3 linked regions of the Caenorhabditis elegans genome follow. The protein of the gene in region 1 purifies or fractionates together with the protein of each later gene. This does not show direct contact. Each region holds a gene or a part of one and is shown in the gene's direction. Other genes may lie near its edges. The genes, in order: F53E10.6, Y48A6B.3 and garr-1.

The links.
Region 2: the proteins of F53E10.6 (region 1) and Y48A6B.3 fractionate together in Caenorhabditis elegans (co-fractionation; one large-scale study listed by BioGRID). This does not show direct contact.
Region 3: the proteins of F53E10.6 (region 1) and garr-1 fractionate together in Caenorhabditis elegans (co-fractionation; one large-scale study listed by BioGRID). This does not show direct contact.

Annotation. Positions count from the first base shown.
Region 1 is NC_003283.11:2,601,611-2,605,074, reverse strand, and holds F53E10.6 (RRP15-like protein), read left to right. Parts: upstream 1-2,011; 5' UTR 2,012-2,014; coding exon 2,015-2,093; intron 2,094-2,218; coding exon 2,219-2,307; intron 2,308-2,371; coding exon 2,372-2,520; intron 2,521-2,573; coding exon 2,574-2,832; 3' UTR 2,833-2,922; downstream 2,923-3,464.
Region 2 is NC_003281.10:11,006,643-11,009,546, forward strand, and holds Y48A6B.3 (Putative H/ACA ribonucleoprotein complex subunit 2-like protein), read left to right. Parts: upstream 1-1,579; 5' UTR 1,580-1,588; coding exon 1,589-1,702; intron 1,703-1,752; coding exon 1,753-1,912; intron 1,913-1,957; coding exon 1,958-2,175; 3' UTR 2,176-2,287; downstream 2,288-2,904. Other genes in the region: fipr-17 (FIP (Fungus-Induced Protein) Related), read right to left, coding at 817-960; exos-1 (Exosome complex component CSL4 homolog), read left to right, coding at 2,409-2,552, 2,609-2,727, 2,775-2,877. UniProt on the Caenorhabditis elegans protein: Required for ribosome biogenesis. Part of a complex which catalyzes pseudouridylation of rRNA. This involves the isomerization of uridine such that the ribose is subsequently attached to C5, instead of the normal N1.
Region 3 is NC_003282.8:424,663-427,861, forward strand, and holds garr-1 (putative H/ACA ribonucleoprotein complex subunit 1-like protein), read left to right. Parts: upstream 1-1,505; 5' UTR 1,506-1,507; coding exon 1,508-1,840; intron 1,841-1,888; coding exon 1,889-2,290; 3' UTR 2,291-2,542; downstream 2,543-3,199. Other genes in the region: Phosphatidylinositol 3,4,5-trisphosphate 3-phosphatase and dual-specificity protein phosphatase daf-18, read right to left, coding at 1-225, 276-486. UniProt on the Caenorhabditis elegans protein: Required for ribosome biogenesis. Part of a complex which catalyzes pseudouridylation of rRNA. This involves the isomerization of uridine such that the ribose is subsequently attached to C5, instead of the normal N1.

The DNA of each region.
Region 1 (3,464 bases):
TTATTTTTCTCGGTCACGTGGGAAATGCCAAAAGAGCTCATATGGTGCATCAAAAACAAATTTGAAAAAAAAAAAGAATTTAAGAATCTGAAACTTGGAAAATCGAATTTTCCAGTTTCACTGGAATTTTCAGTTTCCGGATCGTTTTTTTTCTTCAGAATTCAATTTTTTCAAAATTTACCCCGAACAAAGAAAAACAAAACATTTTGTGGTTAAACCGACATGAGTAAACATTTCGACAAAATCCCCAGTAGAAAAATCTAGAAGCGGGTGTCTGAAAAGGCTGCAAAAAGAATAGAGCGCTGAAACTTTTTCAAATGTGTCATTTTTATTGGTCGAATTAGCGGAGGCTCTGAAAATAAGAAGTTTTGTTTTCAAAAAGCGGGGCCTGATGCCAAGAATTGGAAATTTTACAACGTGGCCTAGAAAAAAAACTCGGCCAGCAATTTTTTTCCCGCTAGCCCACTTGATATCACGGATGTCAGGCTTCCCTCATAAATTGAAATGGAAGAGTTTTTCGAACTAGGCCATTTTGTCTCGGCCATATCTGGGGAAGATTTACGACGCGTTGCGTGTCGCGTCGCGGTTCGGTTTTAGTTGTAAAACTAAATGTATTTGTCCGTGTGGAGTACACGAGTTTCCCACGCGTTGTCCGGCGGGCGATTGTCAATGGAGCGCGAAAAATTCAATGAGGAGGGCCAGAACCCGTGTGATATTTGACCATTTTTCGGACTTAAAAAAACATTTTTAGCGTTCAAATAGGCCTTCTTTTTTATTCGAAAACTGTTTAAAAACAAGCGTTTTAGACGAAAAAACATTTATTTTCCGAAAAAATTAGTGTATGCGCCTTTAAATTCGGGTTACTGTAGACGAGAAACTTTTAGTTATAGGTTATTTTTCTATTTCTTTTTTATGATTTATGCTTAACATTGTTTAATTTTGTGTTTTAAACAAGTTTTAAACTTTTTTAGCAATATTACTACGGTCAACTTAAAGGAACATACGACTATTTCTTTATTTTTCGAAAAGCGCGGCGAGACCCATCCATTGCGATTTAATCGTTTTCTCATGTTTTTTTCGGTCTCAATCACCTCAAAACATATCCAAAAAAAAAGAAGAAGAAATAAAAGTTTATGGAACGAAGCAGCAAAAAAAAATAAAACGACGGGGCGACCGCGACATCCCTAAACAGGGTTAACGAAGCGATAAGTGACTTTTGAGAACAATGCTTGTTTTTTGTTCTTCTTCCTTTAGCTTTTTTTGTCTTACCCCGTTGCACCAAGTTCCGGGGGCACCAAAAATTGACGAAAAAACACATTTTTTAAAAATTCCAGGTTGCAAACGCGCCCCATTGAGAAAACCAGTTCAAACTTGGGAAGGAGGGTTAATATAACAATGAAACCACGAAAATATGATAGAAAATGAAAAATATTTATTGCAAAATATTTATTTTCGATTTCCTTCCTTTTTTTCCGAAACCGGAAACACTAGCGGCAAGTAATATCAAATGACAAAATCAAATGTTGTGGGTGGTTTGGATGGAAATTCAAAAGGAAATTCTTTGCTCTTTTGAACAAGAATACGATGTAAAAGATGTAAAAAAAAATCTTCAAGTCAAGAAAAATGAAGAAAAAAGCAAAAAAAAATTGAAAAAGGCAGCACTTCACCCCCTCCCAACTTGTCAAACGAGCATTTTCTCATTTTGCTCTTCGAGTGGGCGGAGTATAGACGTTTAACTTTTTAAATAAACGTTCAAAAAGCAATTTAACATCCATTCCCGTGTTTTAGCTGATGTTTTTATGTGCTTTTTGAGCTCCGTTCGATTTTCCCAATTTGAATGCCCGCGCATTTCGCATGGCCGTGGACGAGGAAGTGCGGGGGCCGAAGCGGACAATTTTCTCGGTCAAATTCATTTTTCGAAGGTTTTTAATCAATTTCCGCGATTTTTCAGGCTATTTTCTCATGAATTTCCTTAGAATTTTTATATTTTTAAATTCCTCGAATTTTTTAGACCATGTCGACAAAAAACCGCGATCGATTAGTCGTCACAGAAGACTCGGACGACGATAATGAGAGGGAAGAGATGTCATCAGGTATTTTATCGATTTTTCCTCGCTTTAAACACTTATTTTTGAACTGAATTCGTGTATTTTGAGTTTAAAAATAAATAAAAAAAACGTTAATCTGAGCAATTTGAAAGAAAAATCAATAATTTCAGGCGGAGAAAGCGGAGAAGAAGGCCCTTCCTCTGTAGATGGTGGAGCCGGCGACGCCGACGAGACAGTTGCCTTCCCAGCCATTGAGAGGGTGAGAAAACGAAAAAAAAACCCCCGGTTTTTCGTCAAATTAAATTAAAAATTGCGATTTTCAGAGAAAGAAGAAGGTGATCAAGAAGCTGACAAAGAAGGAGCAAAGTCTGAAGAAGAGTGTCAAGGAATACCGGATTAAGTTGGCTCTGGTCAAGCCGGATATCACCACCGACCGGGAGAAGGAACGAAATTTGAGAAGAGTCGCTACAAAGTAGGAAATTGATATTTTTTCGCGGTCAAAAGTCAATTTTCCCATTTTTGCAGAGGAGTCGTCCAGCTCTTCAACGCCGTCTCCGATCGTCAGAAGACAATGTCCGACGCGGTGAAGGAGAAGATGACGGCTCGCGAGAGACGAGAAGCTCGTCAACGATTCGACGGCAAGAACTTTGATTCGGACAGATTCGCGGATTCGGGATATGTTGGGGCGAAGAAAGAAGTGAAGGGAGAGGATGACGACGGAGAGGATCAGATGGATATTGGAGAGGAACAAATCGATACCGGGAATTATAGCGATGAGGATTAACTTTTTTTAAATTTTTTTGTTATCAAATTTTCTTTTTTTTTGTTTTGTTCTGTTCTGTTGTTGTTTTATTCATTAAAAACCCTTCATTTTATCCATTTTATTCATTTTTGCAACAAAAAAAAATTATCTTGGCGCCGGGCAGGTCACCAATCCAGCATTCACGCAGGCTGGATTCACTGCCTTCGATCCGGCGACATCCACGTTACAAATGTAGACACCGGCGTTCCAGTCACAGCAGTTGCGGTAGACGGCCGCCTGGCAGTTGAAGTCCTTTTGTTGGGCACTGGAAATTTTGGTGCGAATTTTAGGAAAGAAATTTGCAGGAATTCGAAATCGGCCTTATTTTTTGTAGGCTTTTCGTATTTTTGGCGAAAAATACACAGAAGAGCGAAAGTTTTGATTTTTTTTCTAGAAAAATAGACAGAAAAACTAACATATTCGCTTTTTTCACTCCATTTTTGTCGAAAAAAAAAATTATAATTTCACAGGATTTCGACGTGTCTCCTTAAAGGCATACATATTTATTCGATTGGGTCTCGACGCGCTAAAAAGTTTATGACGGCTAACTCGACTAATTGGTACAAAATTCGGCTAACGGATAATTCGGCTAATATTAACCGAGTTAGCCGAAT
Region 2 (2,904 bases), on another chromosome or scaffold:
AAGACAATGTTCAACTTTTATTCATAAATTAATTGCTTCAGTTTGAATTATCCAAACTTGGATGGTAGGTCGAATCCCATGATGATATGTCGGTCTGAGGCAGGTCGAATATGGTTAGCTCGAGGTTTTCCAACAACCGACAAGATGGAGAGTACAGCAAACACTAAAACGCAATAAATGTTCATTTGAAGAACCGAAGTGAGGAAAAGGTTTGTGATCGGAAGGCTTTTATTCCACCCACATCGATAAAGTTAGTTCCGGGAGCGGGAGCATCAAAGATGTATGCTTCGATGCTTAAAAACCTTGTGATCATTTGCACGGAAAATATAAGTTTGCAAATACACTCAAATCATACAACGCAAGTCGAATTGTTAATGTTAGGGGTTCCAAAACGCCTGCCTGCCTGACCTTAAGGCGGCCTCCGCCTGCCTCTCGTGAGGCCCTGAAACCGTGCCTGCCTACCTAGCCTCAACTACCTAACAGAAAACTGCTCAATATGTAGGAGCATTTTGGACTAGAAAAATAAATTTGAAATTTTTTAATTTTGTCTCGCACTTCTTTAGAGTCCCGTAGATTAACTCCAATTTGGGATTTTTTTTTTTCAAACTTTCTACTTCAAAGTCCCATTTTATTAGGTCATAGATTTTCCATCTAAGCCTAAGCCTAGGAATTAGCCTAGGCCTAAGCCTCAGTCTAAGCCTAAGCCTAAGCCCTAAAAACTGAAAGGCCTGCGGCGCGATTAACAAGATTATAAGCCCAAAAAACAGAGTTTGAATGTTCAATATTTATCAGTAATCAACAGAAACTGCACAAAAATTATTGTGGACGTGGTGCACCGATGATGACTCCGCTTCCGTATCCACTGCTTCCTCCGCACTTCTTTCCTCCTTGTGGCAAGAAGATTCCAGAAACTGAAGAAATAGCCAAGATGGCGAAGACGCAGACAGAGTAGACGTTCATGATGATGATGAAGAAGAAGAAGATGCTTCTGATGCTTGAATTCTGGAAGAAGTTGGCTTTTATAGTACCGTGTAGGGGGCGGGTGGGGGGTTCGGGGACATAAAATTGTTATATTTTAGTTGCGATTTTGATGATAACTCGTAAAAATTGAAGTTTGAGCGTTTCGGGGAAGCGGAGAGGCTGCAAAACTTGCAAAAATCGGAGTCAGGAACAGTTGAAAATTCAACAAAACGAATTTCCCTGAAAATCTCTAATTTGAATTCCCGCCAACGAATTGTCTGCGTCTCCACTCTCTGGGATGTGGGCGAACGCGCTCCACTGCACATTTCGATTCGATTTCTCTTTTTTCTCTTTTGACGCATTTTCACATAATTATTGTATTTTTCGAAGTTTTCTGCGGGTTTTCTCCGATTTTTTTCGATAAAATTAAATTTTAAAATTCGGAAATATAATATTTATCAATTTTAAGCCATGAAATATCGTAAAATTCCTATGTAATCACCCATAATAGGATTTTTATCGATTTTTTGTTGCAAAAATCCCATTTTCATTGTTTTTCTTTTCCTAAAGCTAATTGAACTTTGCGGCTAATTTACACGATTAACTTATGAATTTTCAGAATCAAAAAATGGGCAAGCGCAATCTGGACGAGACAATGAACGAGTCGACCGTATCAGAAGCCAATGGAGACGCCACCGCACCAACCACCGAGAAGGACGAGTACCAGGCACTTTGCGAGCTGGTAAATCATTAATTTCGCTGGTTTTTTAATGAAAAATGTCTTATTTTCAGGTAAACCCAATCGCTCAGCCACTAGCAAACCGCAAGTTGGCCAAGAAGGTGTACAAGCTCATCAAGAAGGCCTCCGCCGGCGATAAAACCCTCCGTGAGGGCATCAAGGACGTGCAGAAGGAGCTCCGCAGAAACGAGAAGGGAATCTGCATTCTTGCTGGTAGGATTTTAATCTATTTTTCCCTTAAAACGTTCAATTTTTCAGGAAACGTCTCTCCAATCGATGTGTACTCACATATTCCGGGAATCTGCGAGGAGAAGGAGATCCCATACGTCTACATTCCATCTCGTGAGCAGCTCGGACTCGCCGTCGGACATCGTCGCCCGTCGATTCTGATCTTCGTCAAGCCGAGTGGGGACTTCAAGGAGCTGTACGACGAGGTCGCCGAGGCTCTCCGTCATCTCACCGTCGAGGCCGCCTAAATTGTTTTTTCTCTGGTTTTCACTGTTTTTTTTTTGTTGTTGATTTTTTAAAATTTCTTGATCTGTATCACCATCTTTATCCACAATTGTTCACTCATTAAATTGTTGTTATCTACAGACTTTTTCTTTTTATTCTTTAATCCTTTCTCGGTAATTTCCAAAACTCAATTTTGTTACTCGAAATCAATCTAAATCACAGCAAATCCCGTTCTAAACCACTTTCAGCTCAGAAAATGCTCGCCGAAACGCTTGTGGCGCCCGGCGACAAGGTTCTCGACGCGATTGGTGAATATCGAATGGGGAAGGGATTATACGAGGCGAATCGAAGGATCTTCGCGTCGGTAGCCGGTTTTGTCAACGTTTATGGATTCAGAGATGTAATTTTCGCACAAATCGCAAGCGTGGAGCCCGAAAATTTCCGTTTTTTCTGCAGAAATCCGACAACCTGGTGCAAGTGATCGAAGTTCGCCGCAGCGAAGATCAGCTCGACAATGAGCTTCTCCCATTCCACGGAGCCATCGTCACCGCCAAAGTGATGGCTGTCGGATTACGGTAGAGCAGCTTTTCGTTGCTCTGAAAACCGACAGAAAATATTGCAGATTCGCCAAATGTGACATCATCAGTATCGGCGATAAGGTTTACAAGAAGCGGTTCTCGGCGCTGCTGCCGAAAAAGAAGCTGAGGCCGCTGGAACCTGAATTGGTTGGATTTTGCCTGGATTGTGGGTCT
Region 3 (3,199 bases), on another chromosome or scaffold:
TTAATTCGAGACTCGGCGGATGATGATCAGTCATATCGAAGCAAATAACATTTCCATCGAAGTTATCCGCATCGTAGTAGTATCCACCGCGCAGGTTAAACACCTTCACGTTGCCCTTTCCGTGCCGCCTGGTCAGAAATTGTTGAGTTTGAACTTTTGAGTTACGGAAATTCGCTTCGATTCCTGTTGCTGGATAACCGATAGCTATGATTCGGTCTGTGATATCTGAAAGTTTTGAAAATTGAAATGCTTTGAACTCAAGAGAAGTGCCTTACATGCACAATCTAGGTCGATATTTTGGTACTCGGTGCGACAACGATTGGAAGATACAGCCGTCCGAAAAATATGGCGAATCCGCTCGACGATTGAATTGTGATACGGTTCAGACACACGTGGTTCACCAGGTTGTCGGTTTGGATTCTCTTGAAGGTCACGAGCCATCGACCTGGTCGATGTGCTTGGCACATCTGGAGGAGGAGTAACCATTGGGGGTTAGTAGATGTACCTGGAAACTGCAAATTCATGAAGAGGAACGAATTAGAAGAGAATTTCAGCGAATTTTATAATTTAAACATTGTCAGGTGAAGTGTGATAGAATAGAATGCCAAATGAGCGCAAAGGATTAAGGGATTAACTAGCTCATGCTAAAGCTCAGATTTGTTCACGCAGAGAGCTCAGACCCGAGAGATACGAGAGGAGCAGAAAGACAGACTACATTTCCTCGTTAAGAATGAGCTGAAAAAGAGCTAGAAATCCGTTGAAAATCGCCAATATGCGTATTTTCGACTTAAAAAAAACAAGACTGATTTATTAGAAAATAATACCCGCCAGCGCCAATAGTAGAAGATCATATGAAATCATTTGATCAAAAAAGCAAAATTTTGGTCTACTGATTTATGAGCATTTTCAACCAAGAAATAGGAAGATTTCGGATATTTTTATAACCTACGTGTGGAAAATGTTTATTTGTATTGAAAAATCAAGAAAAAATGAATAAAAATTGTCGAAAAAGCAGATAAACACCGAAAAAGATCGGTTTCGCGGCGAAAAAACAAAATCCAAAAAATGTCTCTTAAAGGCGCACGCTAATTCAAACGGCACGGGTCTCGCCACGAACGCCTCTCTTCTCACTGCATTTTTCTCTTCTCTTCGATTTTTTTTTCGATATTTTTTAACGTTTTCCAATAGTTTTTATTGATTTTCTTGTTTAAAAACTGGCAAAAAACGAAATAATCGTTATTTATAAGTTGTATTTAGAGTCTAAAGTTTGTATAGTGCGATGAAATTCTTCGAAATAGGCGAAAATCAATTTCTTGTGATTTTCTTAATTTTCTCATATTTAGAAAATTGAAATTTCTGTGAATATTATGTACAAGAAAACCCCTTTTTGTTTTGCAATACCAATTTTTTCTATTGAATTTCTCAACAAATATATTTTTATGTCCAGTTTGATTTTATTTTGCACTTGAATAACTTTAAAGTTCAAAAATTGTTTGACATTTCAGAAATGAGTTTCCGTGGTGGACGTGGAGGCGGTGGTGGATTTCGAGGTGGTCGTGGTGGCGGTGGAGGCGGTGGATTCCGTGGAGGTCGCGGCGGTGACAGAGGTGGTGGCTTCCGTGGAGGACGCGGTGGATTCGGAGGGGGCGGCCGTGGAGGTTACGATCAGGGACCACCAGAGGAAGTTGTGCTCGTCGGTGTCTTCTCCCATCAGTGCCAAGATGATATTGTTTGCAACAATACGAGTGGAAAAATCCCATATTTCAATGCTCCAATTTACTTCAAGAATAAGGAACAAGTCGGAAAAATCGACGAGATTTTTGGATCCCCCGGGGAGAACGTAAGTAATCTCTTAATTGAAAATTAATCATAAATTTATTCGCTGCAGGGATTCTCCGTCACATTGTCACAAGGAGTAAAAGCCTCTTCATTCGAACCAGAGTCTCAGCTGTACATTGATCCCGGAAAGCTTTTACCAGTTGATCGTTTCCTTCCACAAGCCGGCGGAGGGCGTGGAAGAGGTGGTCGCGGACGCGGTGGGGATCGTGGAGGACGTGGCAGTGACCGTGGAGGTCGTGGAGGCTTTGGAAGAGGCGGCGGCGGTGGATTCAGAGGCGGGGATCGCGGAGGTTTTGGCGGTGGTCGTGGAGGATTCCGAGGCGGAGACCGTGGAGGGTTCCGTGGTGGCCGTGGAGGAGACTTCGGAGGTCGCGGACGTGGAGACTTCAAACGATCATACGATGGTGGAAGTTTCGGAGGACAGAATAATAAGAGAACTAAATTCGAATAATTGTTTCTTCTCTAAAAAACTGTATGTTCCAATTGTTTTCATCCTTTTTTTTTACCAATTGTTGATTTTCTTTGTTTTCCTTTTCTCATCTGCCCTCATTTTTTGATCACTTTTTTGTTGAACTTGTTGGTATTTTATACACATTATAATAATCATATAATTTAGTTATTTTATTTCACTAATCACACAGCGCTCTGAGGCAAGCATTTTTGGCGAATAAAATTTGGAGTTCGCATTTAAGCGCGCTTTGATATATCGTTCTTATAACATTTTTTAATCGCCGCAACCAAGTTCCAGCCATTAATTTGACAGATTACACTGGAAAATTATATATTTAGCTTGAGAACAAAATCTAGAAAGTAGTAAAGTAGCAATTAGCAATTGAAATTTTGCAATACAGGTTAACTTTTGAAATTTGAAATTTTAACAGAATAGAGCTCTCAATCAAAACGGCTGAAGATAAAAATAATTCTGAGCGATTTTCATTGTTCTAATCTCAGCAGTGTACATACTGTACCACGCCACAAAAGGCGGGGCCTAAATATGAGGTTTTCTGCAGTACACGCCACGCAGTTTTCTTATTTTGAGTGTATTGCGCAACATACTTGACGCGCAAAATATCTCGTAGCCAAAACTACAGTAACTCTTAGAAGGACTACTGCAGTAGCTACTGTAGCTTTTGTGTCGATTTACGGGCTCAATTTATTATGGTGCGTCCATAGTCTGCGGAAAACGAAAATTTCCCGCGACCCGAGGCGTCCATAGTATGCGGAAAAATTGAGCGAGTTTCTCGCTTCGTTATTGGTCAATTTCAAAAGTGGCCGTGCCCAACCAATTAGAGGCTGTAAAATTTTGAGCTGAACAATGGGAAAGTGGAAAAACTGCAGGCCACGCCTACTTTTTTGAATT